Linked DNA regions of Saccharomyces cerevisiae S288C. Changing the gene in region 1 together with any one later gene gives a genetic interaction. Each region holds a gene or a part of one and is shown in the gene's direction. Other genes may lie near its edges.

Region 1 (3,019 bases):
AAAAACTCATCATATTTGCTCAATGTGGAAATGTTATCTCCGGTCATGGTACTCACCTCAGTTTCATCCTTTTCCACCTGCTCATCAATCTTCGTCTCAGTGTCAGGAAAAAAATCCCTTTTGAATATATTAAAGTCGGGTTTCCCCTCAAATTGGGTCCCCCCAGCAAACAATTCCTCAATGCAATAATCTGATAGTTGGATCAACCCTTTCAAGTCGTGCCGCCATCTGAATAGGTTGAAGTTACCCAAGCGGATCCAGCTGGGCGCAAAACGGCATACAACAGCGCACGGTTCTTGATTGCGCCTTTGCGCCTTCGTCCCCGGTAACAGAGTTAATTGCATAGCTCTTGTGGATGGAATTCCAATACTGTGCAACGCCTCGCTCATTATGAATTCACGTATGCTTGATCTTAACACAGCTTTCCCATCTGCAAACCGAGAAAATGGCGTCATACCGGCACCTTTCAACTGAAACGTTTGCCATTGTCCGCTACACTTGTCCTTAAGATCAAACAAGTTTACCACACGTCCGTCTCCCAGCTGTGCAGCAAATGAGCCGAATTGAAATCCGGAGTACACTGTACTATAGGGAAAGATACTATCGGAATAATATACTTTCTCACCGGATAGTATTTTCTCCAAGTCCTGATCCTGCACCAAATTAAACTCATCAAGTGCGTTTTGCGAAAGCAGTAATGGCTTGTAATGTGGTTTCTTAGTGGGCAAACAAAATGCAAAATGAGCCCCCTGCGAAACCATCCGAGGCGTATGGAAAAGCTTTAATCTCACGGGATCCGTTGCATTGTACTGCTGCACGACGTTTATTGCCTCTTGTATGGACGACAGGGAAGTATCTGCGGTCAACTTCTTGATGAAGTGGGACGCTGCAGAGTTTTTCAGCGCTTTGATTATTGTCCTTTTTTCCCCCATGATTGTGTTACACGCTCTATCTTCTTTCTCACACCTTCCTTCTTCTACTTCCGGAGTATAGTCTCTAGCTTATCCTTGATGGCTCTTTTTATGCAGGCAGAATAATTACAGTGACGTATTTGTGGCTTCTTTGGCACAACGTTTTGTTCCACGATCACCTCATATCACCGTTAAGTTCTTCATCGTCCAATTCCGGAGTTCCCCGTCAGCCGTGCGACCATGTGGTATTTCACCCGAATAATTAAGGGAAAACAGAAGGAGAATTACGTATCTTAAAGGAGCTAGACTCTTTGCCTCATTGAGGCTTTCTATACATCGGGTCCCCATGTATGGTCCGTTCCATAGTCGAAGCATCCTTAATTTCCTGTGACATTACAGTAGTTTCGCCGTAGAGCCTTTCACGGGAAGAATATGTTCAGTGGTTCCAGGTATGGGTTTGAGGATGTTCTTGTAAGGTGTGTAGATCCCATCTTTTTTAGGGATCACAAAGGGAAAATAACTACACAGCATGTGGTGGTACAGATGAGGTCAATGGCAGTTTTGCCTTAGTTGTAAGTAATTAACCAATCCTTGTCGTGCTTCTCATGAATGTGTATGAATTTATGTTCATCAGAATATCCCTCTTTAACCACAGTTCTTGCGTAAAGCATAGTCTGGCTTCCTTTAGAAAAAGGAAATGTGGTAATTCTAGGACCACGTTTTGGGCTTCGTCATTTCTTTTCACTCCTCCACTTTTATGACATTTGATCGCAAGTTCCTCCATACATCATGCCTAGTAATCAAAACAAATAACGCACAAGGGAGTAAAGGGAAATGGTTAGAAAAGACCGAAATCCTTTTTTTGGTCTCCGTTACGTGCTTGTTAATCAGGCTCCCTTGAAGCAGTCAATATTTCTTGGACTATAAAAGCACATTACTATTTCATCAAAAAAAGGATACATACCTACCCTCAACTCTTAATATCTACTAGCAGCAGAGCCAAACACTACCGCATAAAAGCTAAGTACGAATAACAATTAAGAAATGTCCAATCTATTAAACAAGTTTGCTGATAAGTTGCACGGCAACGATCATGATGAACGTTACGAAGACGACAATGACGACCAGACTAGACAACAGCGTCATGAAAAACATCAACAGAGGGAATTCAGGAATCAAGGATCCAAGGCCGATCCCTACGGCGAAGAAAACCAAGGGAATTTCCCTCAACGCCAGCAGCCACAGTCTAATCTAGGCGGTAACACGCAGTTTGGCGGTAACGACTTCCAGCAACAAACTACTGACTACACTGCCGGCACTGGTGGTGGCACTTATACCCAAACTTACCGCGAAACTAACACTCAAGGTCAGTTGGACGACGATGAAGACGATGACTTCTTGACTTCGGGCCAACAGCAAAAACAAGGTCGTACAAGAGGTGCTCAAAGTAACCGCTACCAATCCTCTAATATCGGCAGCGGTAGACGCGATCTGTCTGGGTCAGGAAACGATGAATATGATGATGATAGTGGGAACCAAGGCGTCTGGTAGATGCGGTGGTCGAAGCTTCTATTACATGCCTGAGGTGCGGGTCTCACCCTTGAGCAGCAAGTGAGAAATTTTACCCTAATTTCGTCTTCTTTTTTCTTTTTTCTTCATCTGGACCTATTATTGGTCATGATGCCACTTTTTACAAACTATTTCATATGTTTAATCTAGTTTATTTAGATCTACAGCTGTCAGTTTATACGTTTTTATTAATGTCAGTTTGATTTGATTAGTAGTGACCTTTTTCGTCGAGGTATGCCGTTTCACGGACCTCCAGATCCAGGTGTATAACAATAGAATTATGGGAAAACGGGGTGGGAAGGTCGTTGTCTAACTCAAACCTCCTGGAATTAGCGGGTAAAGTGTCGTTATTGTGCTGGGCAACAACTTTTTTTTACGATTTCTTTTTACCTCTCATCTAGGTTAGTGTTAGTTGTAAAAACCCGAGCAGATTGGTGCCTTTTCAAGTGCGTTCTTACAACCATACTTTTTTATTCTAGAACGTGTAAGCAATTACTTTCTCAAAAAAGCAAACGCAATAAAGATATGCTACGGATAAG
Region 2 (2,757 bases), on another chromosome or scaffold:
TGCTGTCACTGCGCATATAAAGGCGAGAACGATAGTGACTGTGATATTAAGTTATTGTCATCATATAAGTAATTTTTTCTCTGATATCTGTAGCCCTAGTTTTTAATATTTTCGTAAAATGCTCAAAAAAATTTCTGTTTAAATTCTTCTGGGGTATATACACATGTTCCCGTCAGCTAAATTAAAAAGAAGAAGGAACCGAAAGAAGGCAAATTATAAAGTAATCATCCTCGGCATATTGAGGGGAAAATATCCGTCAAAAAAAAAAGTTCTGCACGTCGTCATAAGTGACTATGGTATCAAACACCAATTAACACGAACGTAGCGATAATGAAGGCAACTTCGTAGCTGAAACAGAACGAAGTTAGTTAGGATGAATAATTATGATTATGATTATTATAATATTATATAAAATGTATAAATAAGATTTCTAGATCAAAAAAACATCGCGTATTTTGTAAGCTATAGAAATCTAAAATATCTAATCAGATCTTGGAGCTTCCTTGAAGGAGATGGCAGCTTCTTCACCCATGGCAGAAATGATAGTGACCATCAAATCCTTACCTTCATCGAAAGCAGCTTGCATGCTGTCACCCAATTCACCTTCTGGTGCCTTGACATCGTCTTTGGTTTCACCGTCCATGGTCATCAAGGACAAGTAGCCATCATCAATATCCAACAATTGGTATTCGCTTCTCTTGACAAATGGAACTTCCAAGTTGTGAGTGGATGGAGACAAATCTTCCAACTTCTTACCAGTGAAGATATCAAGGGTAACCAAATGGACCTTGGCGTGACCGTGCTTACCGGTCTTGGAAGTGGACATGTCGACAATCTTACATGGTCTACCTTTGATGACAACGAAACCATTCTTTCTCAAGGCAGAACATTGCATTGGGTAGGTGGCGGAGGCACCAGCGTCAGCATTTTCAAAGGTGTGTTCTTCGTCAGACATGTTTTAGTGTGTGAATGAAATAGGTGTATGTTTTCTTTTTGCTAGACAATAATTAGGAACAAGGTAAGGGAACTAAAGTGTAGAATAAGATTAAAAAAGAAGAACAAGTTGAAAAGGCAAGTTGAAATTTCAAGAAAAAAGTCAATTGAAGTACAGTAAATTGACCTGAATATATCTGAGTTCCGACAACAATGAGTTTACCAAAGAGAACAATGGAATAGGAAACTTTGAACGAAGAAAGGAAAGCAGGAAAGGAAAAAATTTTTAGGCTCGAGAACAATAGGGCGAAAAAACAGGCAACGAACGAACAATGGAAAAACGAAAAAAAAAAAAAAAAACACAGAAAAGAATGCAGAAAGATGTCAACTGAAAAAAAAAAAGGTGAACACAGGAAAAAAAATAAAAAAAAAAAAAAAAAAAGGAGGACGAAACAAAAAAGTGAAAAAAAATGAAAATTTTTTTGGAAAACCAAGAAATGAATTATATTTCCGTGTGAGACGACATCGTCGAATATGATTCAGGGTAACAGTATTGATGTAATCAATTTCCTACCTGAATCTAAAATTCCCGGGAGCAAGATCAAGATGTTTTCACCGATCTTTCCGGTCTCTTTGGCCGGGGTTTACGGACGATGGCAGAAGACCAAAGCGCCAGTTCATTTGGCGAGCGTTGGTTGGTGGATCAAGCCCACGCGTAGGCAATCCTCGAGCAGATCCGCCAGGCGTGTATATATAGCGTGGATGGCCAGGCAACTTTAGTGCTGACACATACAGGCATATATATATGTGTGCGACGACACATGATCATATGGCATGCATGTGCTCTGTATGTATATAAAACTCTTGTTTTCTTCTTTTCTCTAAATATTCTTTCCTTATACATTAGGACCTTTGCAGCATAAATTACTATACTTCTATAGACACACAAACACAAATACACACACTAAATTAATAATGACTGAATTCAAGGCCGGTTCTGCTAAGAAAGGTGCTACACTTTTCAAGACTAGATGTCTACAATGCCACACCGTGGAAAAGGGTGGCCCACATAAGGTTGGTCCAAACTTGCATGGTATCTTTGGCAGACACTCTGGTCAAGCTGAAGGGTATTCGTACACAGATGCCAATATCAAGAAAAACGTGTTGTGGGACGAAAATAACATGTCAGAGTACTTGACTAACCCAAAGAAATATATTCCTGGTACCAAGATGGCCTTTGGTGGGTTGAAGAAGGAAAAAGACAGAAACGACTTAATTACCTACTTGAAAAAAGCCTGTGAGTAAACAGGCCCCTTTTCCTTTGTCGATATCATGTAATTAGTTATGTCACGCTTACATTCACGCCCTCCTCCCACATCCGCTCTAACCGAAAAGGAAGGAGTTAGACAACCTGAAGTCTAGGTCCCTATTTATTTTTTTTAATAGTTATGTTAGTATTAAGAACGTTATTTATATTTCAAATTTTTCTTTTTTTTCTGTACAAACGCGTGTACGCATGTAACATTATACTGAAAACCTTGCTTGAGAAGGTTTTGGGACGCTCGAAGGCTTTAATTTGCAAGCTTCGCAGTTTACACTCTCATCGTCGCTCTCATCATCGCTTCCGTTGTTGTTTTCCTTAGTAGCGTCTGCTTCCAGAGAGTATTTATCTCTTATTACCTCTAAAGGTTCTGCTTGATTTCTGACTTTGTTCGCCTCATGTGCATATTTTTCTTGGTTCTTTTGGGACAAAATATGCGTAAAGGACTTTTGTTGTTCCCTCACATTCCAGTTTAGTTGTCGACTGATACTGTTAATAAACTC
Region 3 (3,943 bases), on another chromosome or scaffold:
AATCAATAAGAATTTGGTTTCGTGGTCTAGTCGGTTATGGCATCTGCTTAACACGCAGAACGTCCCCAGTTCGATCCTGGGCGAAATCAATTTTTTTTGAATTTTTTTTTTTTCTTTAGAAAAATGTATAGTGGATTTTCGTAGCTTTATGTTAAGAGTACAGCAACGGCATTATTATTCAATAAGCATTATAAAACAGATCGATTTGAATATTACCGGAGGCCCTCTGAGCTTTCTTATTTGTTTATCATTTCGATAAAAGGGGCAGTAGGTGTTTGCTTTACTTCCAGTATAAACTAACGAAGAATAAGGCTGAAGCAATTGTTATGACGCCTTCTAATATGGATGATAATACCAGCGGATTCATGAAATTTATTAACCCTCAATGCCAAGAGGAGGATTGTTGTATCAGAAATAGTCTATTCCAAGAAGATAGCAAATGTATAAAACAACAACCAGACCTATTGAGCGAGCAAACAGCACCCTTCCCAATTTTGGAAGACCAGTGTCCTGCTTTGAACCTTGACAGATCAAATAATGATTTGCTATTACAGAACAACATATCTTTCCCTAAGGGTAGTGATCTTCAAGCAATTCAACTAACCCCTATTTCAGGCGACTACTCTACCTATGTTATGGCAGATAACAATAATAATGATAATGATAGTTATAGTAATACAAATTATTTTTCTAAAAATAATGGTATATCTCCAAGTTCGAGGAGTCCCTCAGTTGCTCATAATGAGAATGTTCCAGATGACTCTAAGGCAAAGAAAAAGGCTCAAAACAGAGCCGCCCAAAAAGCCTTCAGAGAGAGAAAAGAAGCCAGAATGAAAGAATTACAAGATAAATTGTTAGAAAGTGAAAGGAACCGCCAAAGTTTATTGAAAGAAATTGAGGAACTAAGAAAGGCAAATACTGAAATCAACGCAGAGAACAGACTGCTACTGCGGAGTGGTAATGAAAATTTTTCAAAGGACATAGAAGATGATACCAACTACAAATATTCTTTCCCAACGAAAGATGAATTTTTTACCTCTATGGTCCTGGAAAGCAAACTGAATCACAAAGGCAAGTATTCGCTAAAGGATAATGAAATTATGAAGCGAAATACCCAGTATACTGACGAAGCAGGAAGACATGTACTAACAGTCCCCGCCACCTGGGAGTATCTTTACAAACTTTCAGAAGAGAGGGACTTTGATGTGACATACGTTATGAGCAAATTGCAAGGACAAGAATGTTGTCATACCCATGGACCTGCGTATCCAAGAAGTTTAATCGATTTTCTAGTGGAGGAAGCTACTTTGAATGAATGAATAGACTTTGACAAAAATAACTTACAAACACTAAATAAGAAAGGGCAGGCAACATCTTCATGAGGCAAACCAGGTTCTTTTTTTATTGACTTCGAAGTATACATTTTCATCGCATAATTGACACACAATACGCCCTTTACCATTCCAACCTACTACACCTTTTACTTATATAAGTGTATAAACTATGTTCTTACGCGGTGTTTTTAGGGGACGGCCTGTTATAAAATGGAAAATATAAAAATGAAATTTCACCCGCGGATTAAGTAAAAGTTCAAAGGAAAACACATAGAGGCAATAACGGAATAGTAGCATTGAATGTATTACTTTCTGGTTGGCCCTCACATCTATGGATCAATTTGAGTATATCATTACTTTAGAATTTGGAAACCAAAATCAGGTTGAATCCGCTTATCAAATTTTCAAGAGTATTCCGAAAAAGTTGAAGGCAAAAAGTATCGGGGAAGAAAGTATTAAAAGTAATAATCAAGACTGGCAGGATTGGAGAGTCTGTGACTTGGAAATAGACATGATAACTGATTTCAAAAATCAAACATCAAAAGAAGAGGAAAGTGATTTGATTACTTCACAATACTTAGGCCATGGGATAATAAGGCTATTCAAGCTAAGCAATGCCAATAATACTCTTAATGAGAAGGAGATTTTGACTATCCCGGGAGATGATACTATGATATGTATCCTGTTTGTTCCAACTTATTTTACCGTTCACGATTTATTGCATTTTTATATTGGTGATGATATTGTTAATAAGCAAGTTTCAAACTTTCGTATATTACGAAATCAGCAGAAGGGAATGGGTTTTAATTTCACGGTCTTAATTAAATTCAGGAATGCACTTGATGCGAAAAATTTCAAGGAAGAGTTCAATGGCAAAAGTTTCAGCAGGATGGATCCCGAAACATGCCATGTGATCTCTGTAAAAGAAATAGTTTTTCAAAAAAAGCTCTTCCAAAGACCAGCCGCTAACGAGGACTTCCCCTATCTGCTTACTGATCCATTCACTGTTAAGAAAAAAAAGGAACTGGTAAAAGTCGAACTCCCCACATGTCCCGTTTGCCTTGAAAGAATGGATTCAGAAACTACTGGATTAGTAACGATCCCGTGCCAGCACACTTTTCATTGCCAATGCTTAAATAAGTGGAAGAATTCAAGGTGTCCAGTGTGTCGACATTCAAGTCTGCGGCTAAGCAGGGAATCATTATTGAAACAGGCAGGTGATTCCGCACATTGTGCAACATGTGGTTCCACTGATAATCTATGGATTTGCTTGATCTGCGGTAATGTTGGATGCGGTCGTTACAATTCCAAACACGCAATCAAGCATTATGAAGAAACTTTACATTGTTTTGCGATGGATATACGGACACAAAGAGTGTGGGATTATGCGGGTGATAATTATGTCCATCGCCTAGTTCAAAATGAAGTTGATGGGAAGTTAGTAGAGGTCGGCGGCTCCGGTGACGATGACAACAATGATATAGGCAACTCCGATGAACTACAAAATGTTGTTTACGGGAACAGGAGCAAAAACGGTGAGAAATCGAACTCTAATAAAAAAGATGGCGAGCTGGCGGCAAATTTTTTAAGGCATAGGGAGTATCATCTAGAATATGTGCAAGTCCTAATATCTCAATTAGAGTCTCAAAGAGAATATTATGAACTGAAATTACAAGAAAAAGATCAAACTGCGTCTGATTCTTCGAATGTTGAAAGTTTGAAGAAGTCTATGGAAGATTTGAAACTCCAATTTCAGGTCACTCAAAAGGAGTGGCAGAAAAGGGAAATGGCCCAGAAATCTAAGCTTGAGGAAGATATGTTAGTAATCGAAGGACTACAAGCGAACCTAGATCACTTATCAAAAAAACAAGAGCAGTTAGAGCGAGAAAACAAAGCGTTAGAAGAGTCTAAACAAGATTTGGAAGAGCAAGTCAAGGACCTAATGTTTTATCTAGATTCTCAAGAAAAATTCAAAGACGCTGATGAGAGTGTAAAAGAAGGTACCATCCTAATACAGCAACCACATGGGGCAGCACAGGCATCCAAAAGCAAGAAGAAGCGCAACAAAAATAAAAAAGCAGGGAAATGATTATCTTCATCACCGCCATACCATTCTTGCATTCTAAATTTATTATATCTCTGTGTACGGCAGGCTCATCGATTTTTCTTTTCTTTTTTTTTTTTTTTTTTTTTTGCCTGCGAAAATTTTCCAGTCGAATAGTAAGTAATAGGATGAGTTTTATAAAGTTATGATTGCGAACGGTATTATTCGCTAAACTCGTATCTGTTTATAATCACGTACCCTCTTATTTACTTACTTTTTCTTGAATATATCTAAGAAAGATTCATACTCTTTTTTCTACGTACTTTGCCAGCGCAGGATAAACGAACCTACCCATTCAAACTGAGCCTCATATATTCACTTAGGATTACAAAATGCCAACAAATTCCATCAAATTATTAGCACCAGATGTCCACCGAGGTTTAGCTGAACTTGTTGCCAAAAGGCTAGGTCTACAGTTAACAAGCAGCAAACTAAAGAGAGATCCAACCGGTGAGGTTTCCTTTTCTATTGGAGAATCTGTTAGGGACCAAGATATCTTTATCAT
Region 4 (4,203 bases), on another chromosome or scaffold:
AGCTCTAAGAGTAAGGTTCCGATATTCAAGTCCTTCAATTTAAAAAGCTACCAACGAAACCACTATTATTCATCCAAAAAGGAAAGGAAACATGGAAGTCCTGATATTGATTCTTTGTTCCATGAAACCAATGGAGCCTCAAAAGTAAGAATGACTGATGCCGGTAAAATGGATACGAACTCTCAGTTCCAAGAAATATGGGAAATATTGGGTAAAAATGCGTACACACATAAATCTTACTCTGAAGATCCAAATTCATGTTTGGGATCAGCACTAAGCGATCATGAAGAAGAAGAAGAAGCAGGAAAACAACAACAGCAACAGCAGCAACAACAGCAACAGCAGCAACATTATGGAATGACGTCGAAGTCTAGCAGTCCTGATGAAGAAAAAAAAAATAATAAAGAACCGAAAAGGGAAAGCAGAGTCTCTCCAGAGGAAAATGGCGAAGAAGAAACGGGACACAAACAATTTAAATTGCCCAAGACCAGTACTTTTTCTAGTGGATCCCATGATTCAAATTTGCAATCTCCTTTTTACAATCATGAGTATCGACATTACGCAAGAAGTAAATTCGAATGCAAGAATCAGTTTAGAAAGTCAGTTTCTCCCATTAAAGAGATACCTGCAACAACTAGTGCCAATGAAGGATGGAACATTTTGAGAGACATTATTGAAAAACTCAATATAAGCAATGTAGACGATCGAAATAAAGACTTGCTGTTTCGTCGGGATGAAATAGGTGATAAAAATCACAGCGACTCAATCGACATAGAAAATTTATCTATCAAAGAACCTAAAGGGATGAAAAGGAGAAAGAAAGATGATATATCTTTAGAAGAATTGTTCCAATCTTTACCAAGAGAAAAAGATTATTTTATGATGGATGCAATTAATGACTCGTTAGAATCAATCAATCTTTTTAAAAAGCCGAAGACCACTCAGAGTCACGAACAAGGTGGAACTTTTGCCCAAGCAGAAAGTAATCGTGCAAAATTCAAACCGTTACTAGAACAGTGTGGAATTACACCCGAGATCTTAGATTTGGAAATACCAGAGATTCCGGAATTTGATGCAGTGGCTGACCTTGAAACATTGAAGCTTAACGTGCAGCTGTTTAATAACCAATGTAACAAACTTAAAGAAACAATACATCAAGTATCATTACAGCGCCTGAGAGCAGATACGCAGTTCAGTGATATGTTAACCCAAAAGCAAAGTATTATGGTTTGGAAAACATACCTAGAATTTGATAAAAGTTTAATGGACAAATTGAACATCTTACAAGAAAGACAGATGCAGGTCATTAAAATTTTTTCCGAAAGATGTGACGGTAAAGTATAATCGAACGCTCTTCTTAATGAGCATATACCCGTCGTCCTTACGCCAGGATGGAAATAATTTGAATGAATAATGTAAAATATATAAAAGTATCTAGTCAGTACATTTCATGTCTCAATTATTAATATCTTAAATATATATTTAGTTATGGAAATTCAATAAACTACTGAAATAAATAGAAAATTCTTACAGAAAATGGTAAAAGTAAAAAAAAATTACCAAAGGGTGCACTTGGCAATTTAAAAGTACTTATAAACTGGTTTGGCTTCCAAGTGAATGAAAGTGCTATGGGATTATCATCAGGTAAGTACAGTGTATCTTACTAACATTGGCCGAGCGTTTATTGTTGTTCCGTGGAAGTTTATCATGATTTCCCGCCCTTAATCGAAATCAAAAAAAAAAAAAATAAAGGGTAAGGGATTCCTAAAAACCAACAAGATGAAGGGCTGATCTGCAAGAAGTCTAATAGACTTATAAGGAATACAAACCCTAGTTCTTGCATTTCACGTATACATCTTCAAACCGTGCGAAGCAAAGGCGCAGAACAATGTCAAACGAGGATGAAACAACTCGTTTAATGTCTTCAGATGAGATGGACTATTTATTGGAAACGGCTGGGATCAACGCCTTGGAAGAAATCATTAGTCAAAATGACAGTACTGGAATAAATTTGGATACTAATGAAACAGCTCAGGACAGTAGCTATGACTCTATCCGGCGCTCCCCCAGTATTTTGAGTGTTGCCAAAAGCGTTGAGGGAGAGCATGGACGTAGAAAACTATTATGCCTTTACGGCCTTGTTATGATTATCTGTATTGCGGAGTCTATTTCTATGACTGCTACAATACCGTTGGTGATGGACAAGGTAGCGGAAGGAATTTCAGATGAGAATGGACATTATGATTCCGTGGCTGTACAGACAATAGTTTCCAGCATTTCTTCATCCACTATGATGATAGCAGGGGCAATCAGTATTTTCATGGCTGGTAAGTGGGGAGAATTATCCGATAGAATAGGAAGAGTGCGTGTTTTCAAATACATGAGCGGCATCAGGGTCATAGGGCTTCTTACGCACGTCTTTACCCTATCATCGAAAATGAAGTATCACAAATGGGCTATTGTTCTTACTGCGTGTATCGTACCATCATTCGGTGGCTTGTTTGCGCTAGTGGCGAATGGAAATAGTTACGTTTCAGATATAGTGAAAACTGAGCACAGAATGGTGACAATAGGAATAATGATGAGTTGTATATATGCCACTATGGGCGTAGGCCCAATGTTTGGGTCCTTTCTGGTGAAGTGGACTCATGGAAACGGGTTCATTCCTATTTACACATCAATAGCGTTTGTTATACTGGCGCTTATAATATGTGAGACAATCATGGTGGAACCGCGCCATGAAACCCAAATGGCCCATTCACAATCAACTTATACAAAGAGGAGAGAGAAACTAAGATCACAATCGGGTTCTGACGATGCAAGAAATTACCAATCCGTTACTTATGGAAAATTTCAAATAATGAGGTTAATGGACCTGCTCGCTCCAGTAAAAAAGTTATGGCTGAAGCCCGACAGTGCAGGGTCTTTAGTACCCCGGCATACCGTAATATTACTCATTGTACTCGATATACTATTTGTCTGTGGAACGACATCGTGTATGCCAGCATTGATTTTGTTTTCTACATATGAGTACAAATGGCATGCAGTAGAGCTAGGTTATTTCATATCGATACTGGGTATCGGAAGAGGTGTTGTGTTACTGGTCGTATCACCTACATTACTGTACACGCTAAAGAGGATTTATCAACACTTGAACCATTCGATAGACAAGATAGACATCTTTTGCATACAGTTTTCTATGATTGTTATAACACTGAGTCTCTTTGTCATGATACGATTTGGCGAGAAAACTCCCACATCCATGATAATATTCGCTCTTTTACAGGCATTGAGCGCGTTTTGTTCACCAACTTTGCAGTCTGGTATCATAAAGTACACCTCTAAGAAACATACAGGCGAGATGTTCGGAGCAATGGCTTTGGTAAGGTCCTGTGTTATGCTTGTCATCCCTCCCATCCTCCTTAAGCTATATGGAAGTACTGTCTCCGTTAATCCTAGTCTGTTTATGTATATACCGTTCTCAACAAGTATTGTTGCCATCTTGTTGACATTCTTCCTAAGAATTTACAAGAACCCTCCGCTGGACGGGCCTTAAAAACATTTACATACCGTATACACCACATATTTTTAGTTACTTGTTCGAAGCTGTGCTGCTATTCGTTCTTGCAAAGCCAGTGTCCTAACGACTTTGCTTATGACATGATTCAACATAGTGTTGTTGTGGTTTTTTCTACGTAATCATGATGATCTTTTTTTTCGCGCTATTAGGGGGGAGGGAAGGCGGGATCTGGTAAAAGTTTGACATAATAATCAAGGGGGATATCGTATCCCTTTACTTGAAAACTTGAAAAATATTCATCTACTATCTCTGGCCAGAAAAACGTGAGAATTTTTAGGTGCGAAACATCATAGAAGCTGCGATTGTATCCATCTAAGAGTTTTAATTTGATAAAGCTAAGGAATCTGACCCTATACTTTTTTTTTTGTTTGGCTTGCTTGCATTTTCAATCGGCTTCAAAGGTAGCACAGAAAGTAGTGTTCTCTTAGCTTAAGCAGTGCATGAATTATAGCTGATTGTGTGAAAGAATCTTTTTTTTGGGTATGTCGACTGAAGAACAAAATGGAGGTGGTCAAAAGTCTCTAGATGATAGACAAGGTGAGGAATCACAAAAAGGTGAGACTAGTGAAAGGGAAACAACAGCCACAGAGAGCGGTAACGAAAGTAAGTCTGTAGAAAAAGAG

What was found.
Region 2: mutations in GRE1 (region 1) and CYC1 together harm fitness more than expected from each alone (negative genetic interaction), as found in Saccharomyces cerevisiae (2 studies listed by BioGRID).
Region 3: mutations in GRE1 (region 1) and ETP1 together harm fitness more than expected from each alone (negative genetic interaction), as found in Saccharomyces cerevisiae (2 studies listed by BioGRID).
Region 4: mutations in GRE1 (region 1) and YJL163C together harm fitness more than expected from each alone (negative genetic interaction), as found in Saccharomyces cerevisiae (2 studies listed by BioGRID).

The regions. Positions count from the first base shown.
Region 1 is NC_001148.4:128,075-131,093, reverse strand, and holds GRE1 (Gre1p), read left to right. Parts: upstream 1-1,955; coding exon 1,956-2,462; downstream 2,463-3,019. Other genes in the region: FMP40 (Fmp40p), read right to left, coding at 1-932; MMT2 (Mmt2p), read left to right, coding at 3,006-3,019.
Region 2 is NC_001142.9:524,427-527,183, forward strand, and holds CYC1 (cytochrome c), read left to right. Parts: upstream 1-1,908; coding exon 1,909-2,238; downstream 2,239-2,757. Other genes in the region: ANB1 (translation elongation factor eIF-5A), read right to left, coding at 482-955; UTR1 (NADH/NAD(+) kinase), read right to left, coding at 2,458-2,757.
Region 3 is NC_001140.6:81,444-85,386, reverse strand, and holds ETP1 (Etp1p), read left to right. Parts: upstream 1-1,665; coding exon 1,666-3,423; downstream 3,424-3,943. Other genes in the region: YAP3 (Yap3p), read left to right, coding at 327-1,319; ribose phosphate diphosphokinase subunit PRS3, read left to right, coding at 3,771-3,943.
Region 4 is NC_001142.9:111,019-115,221, reverse strand, and holds YJL163C (uncharacterized protein), read left to right. Parts: upstream 1-1,888; coding exon 1,889-3,556; downstream 3,557-4,203. Other genes in the region: JJJ2 (Jjj2p), read left to right, coding at 1-1,344; cAMP-dependent protein kinase catalytic subunit TPK1, read left to right, coding at 4,063-4,203.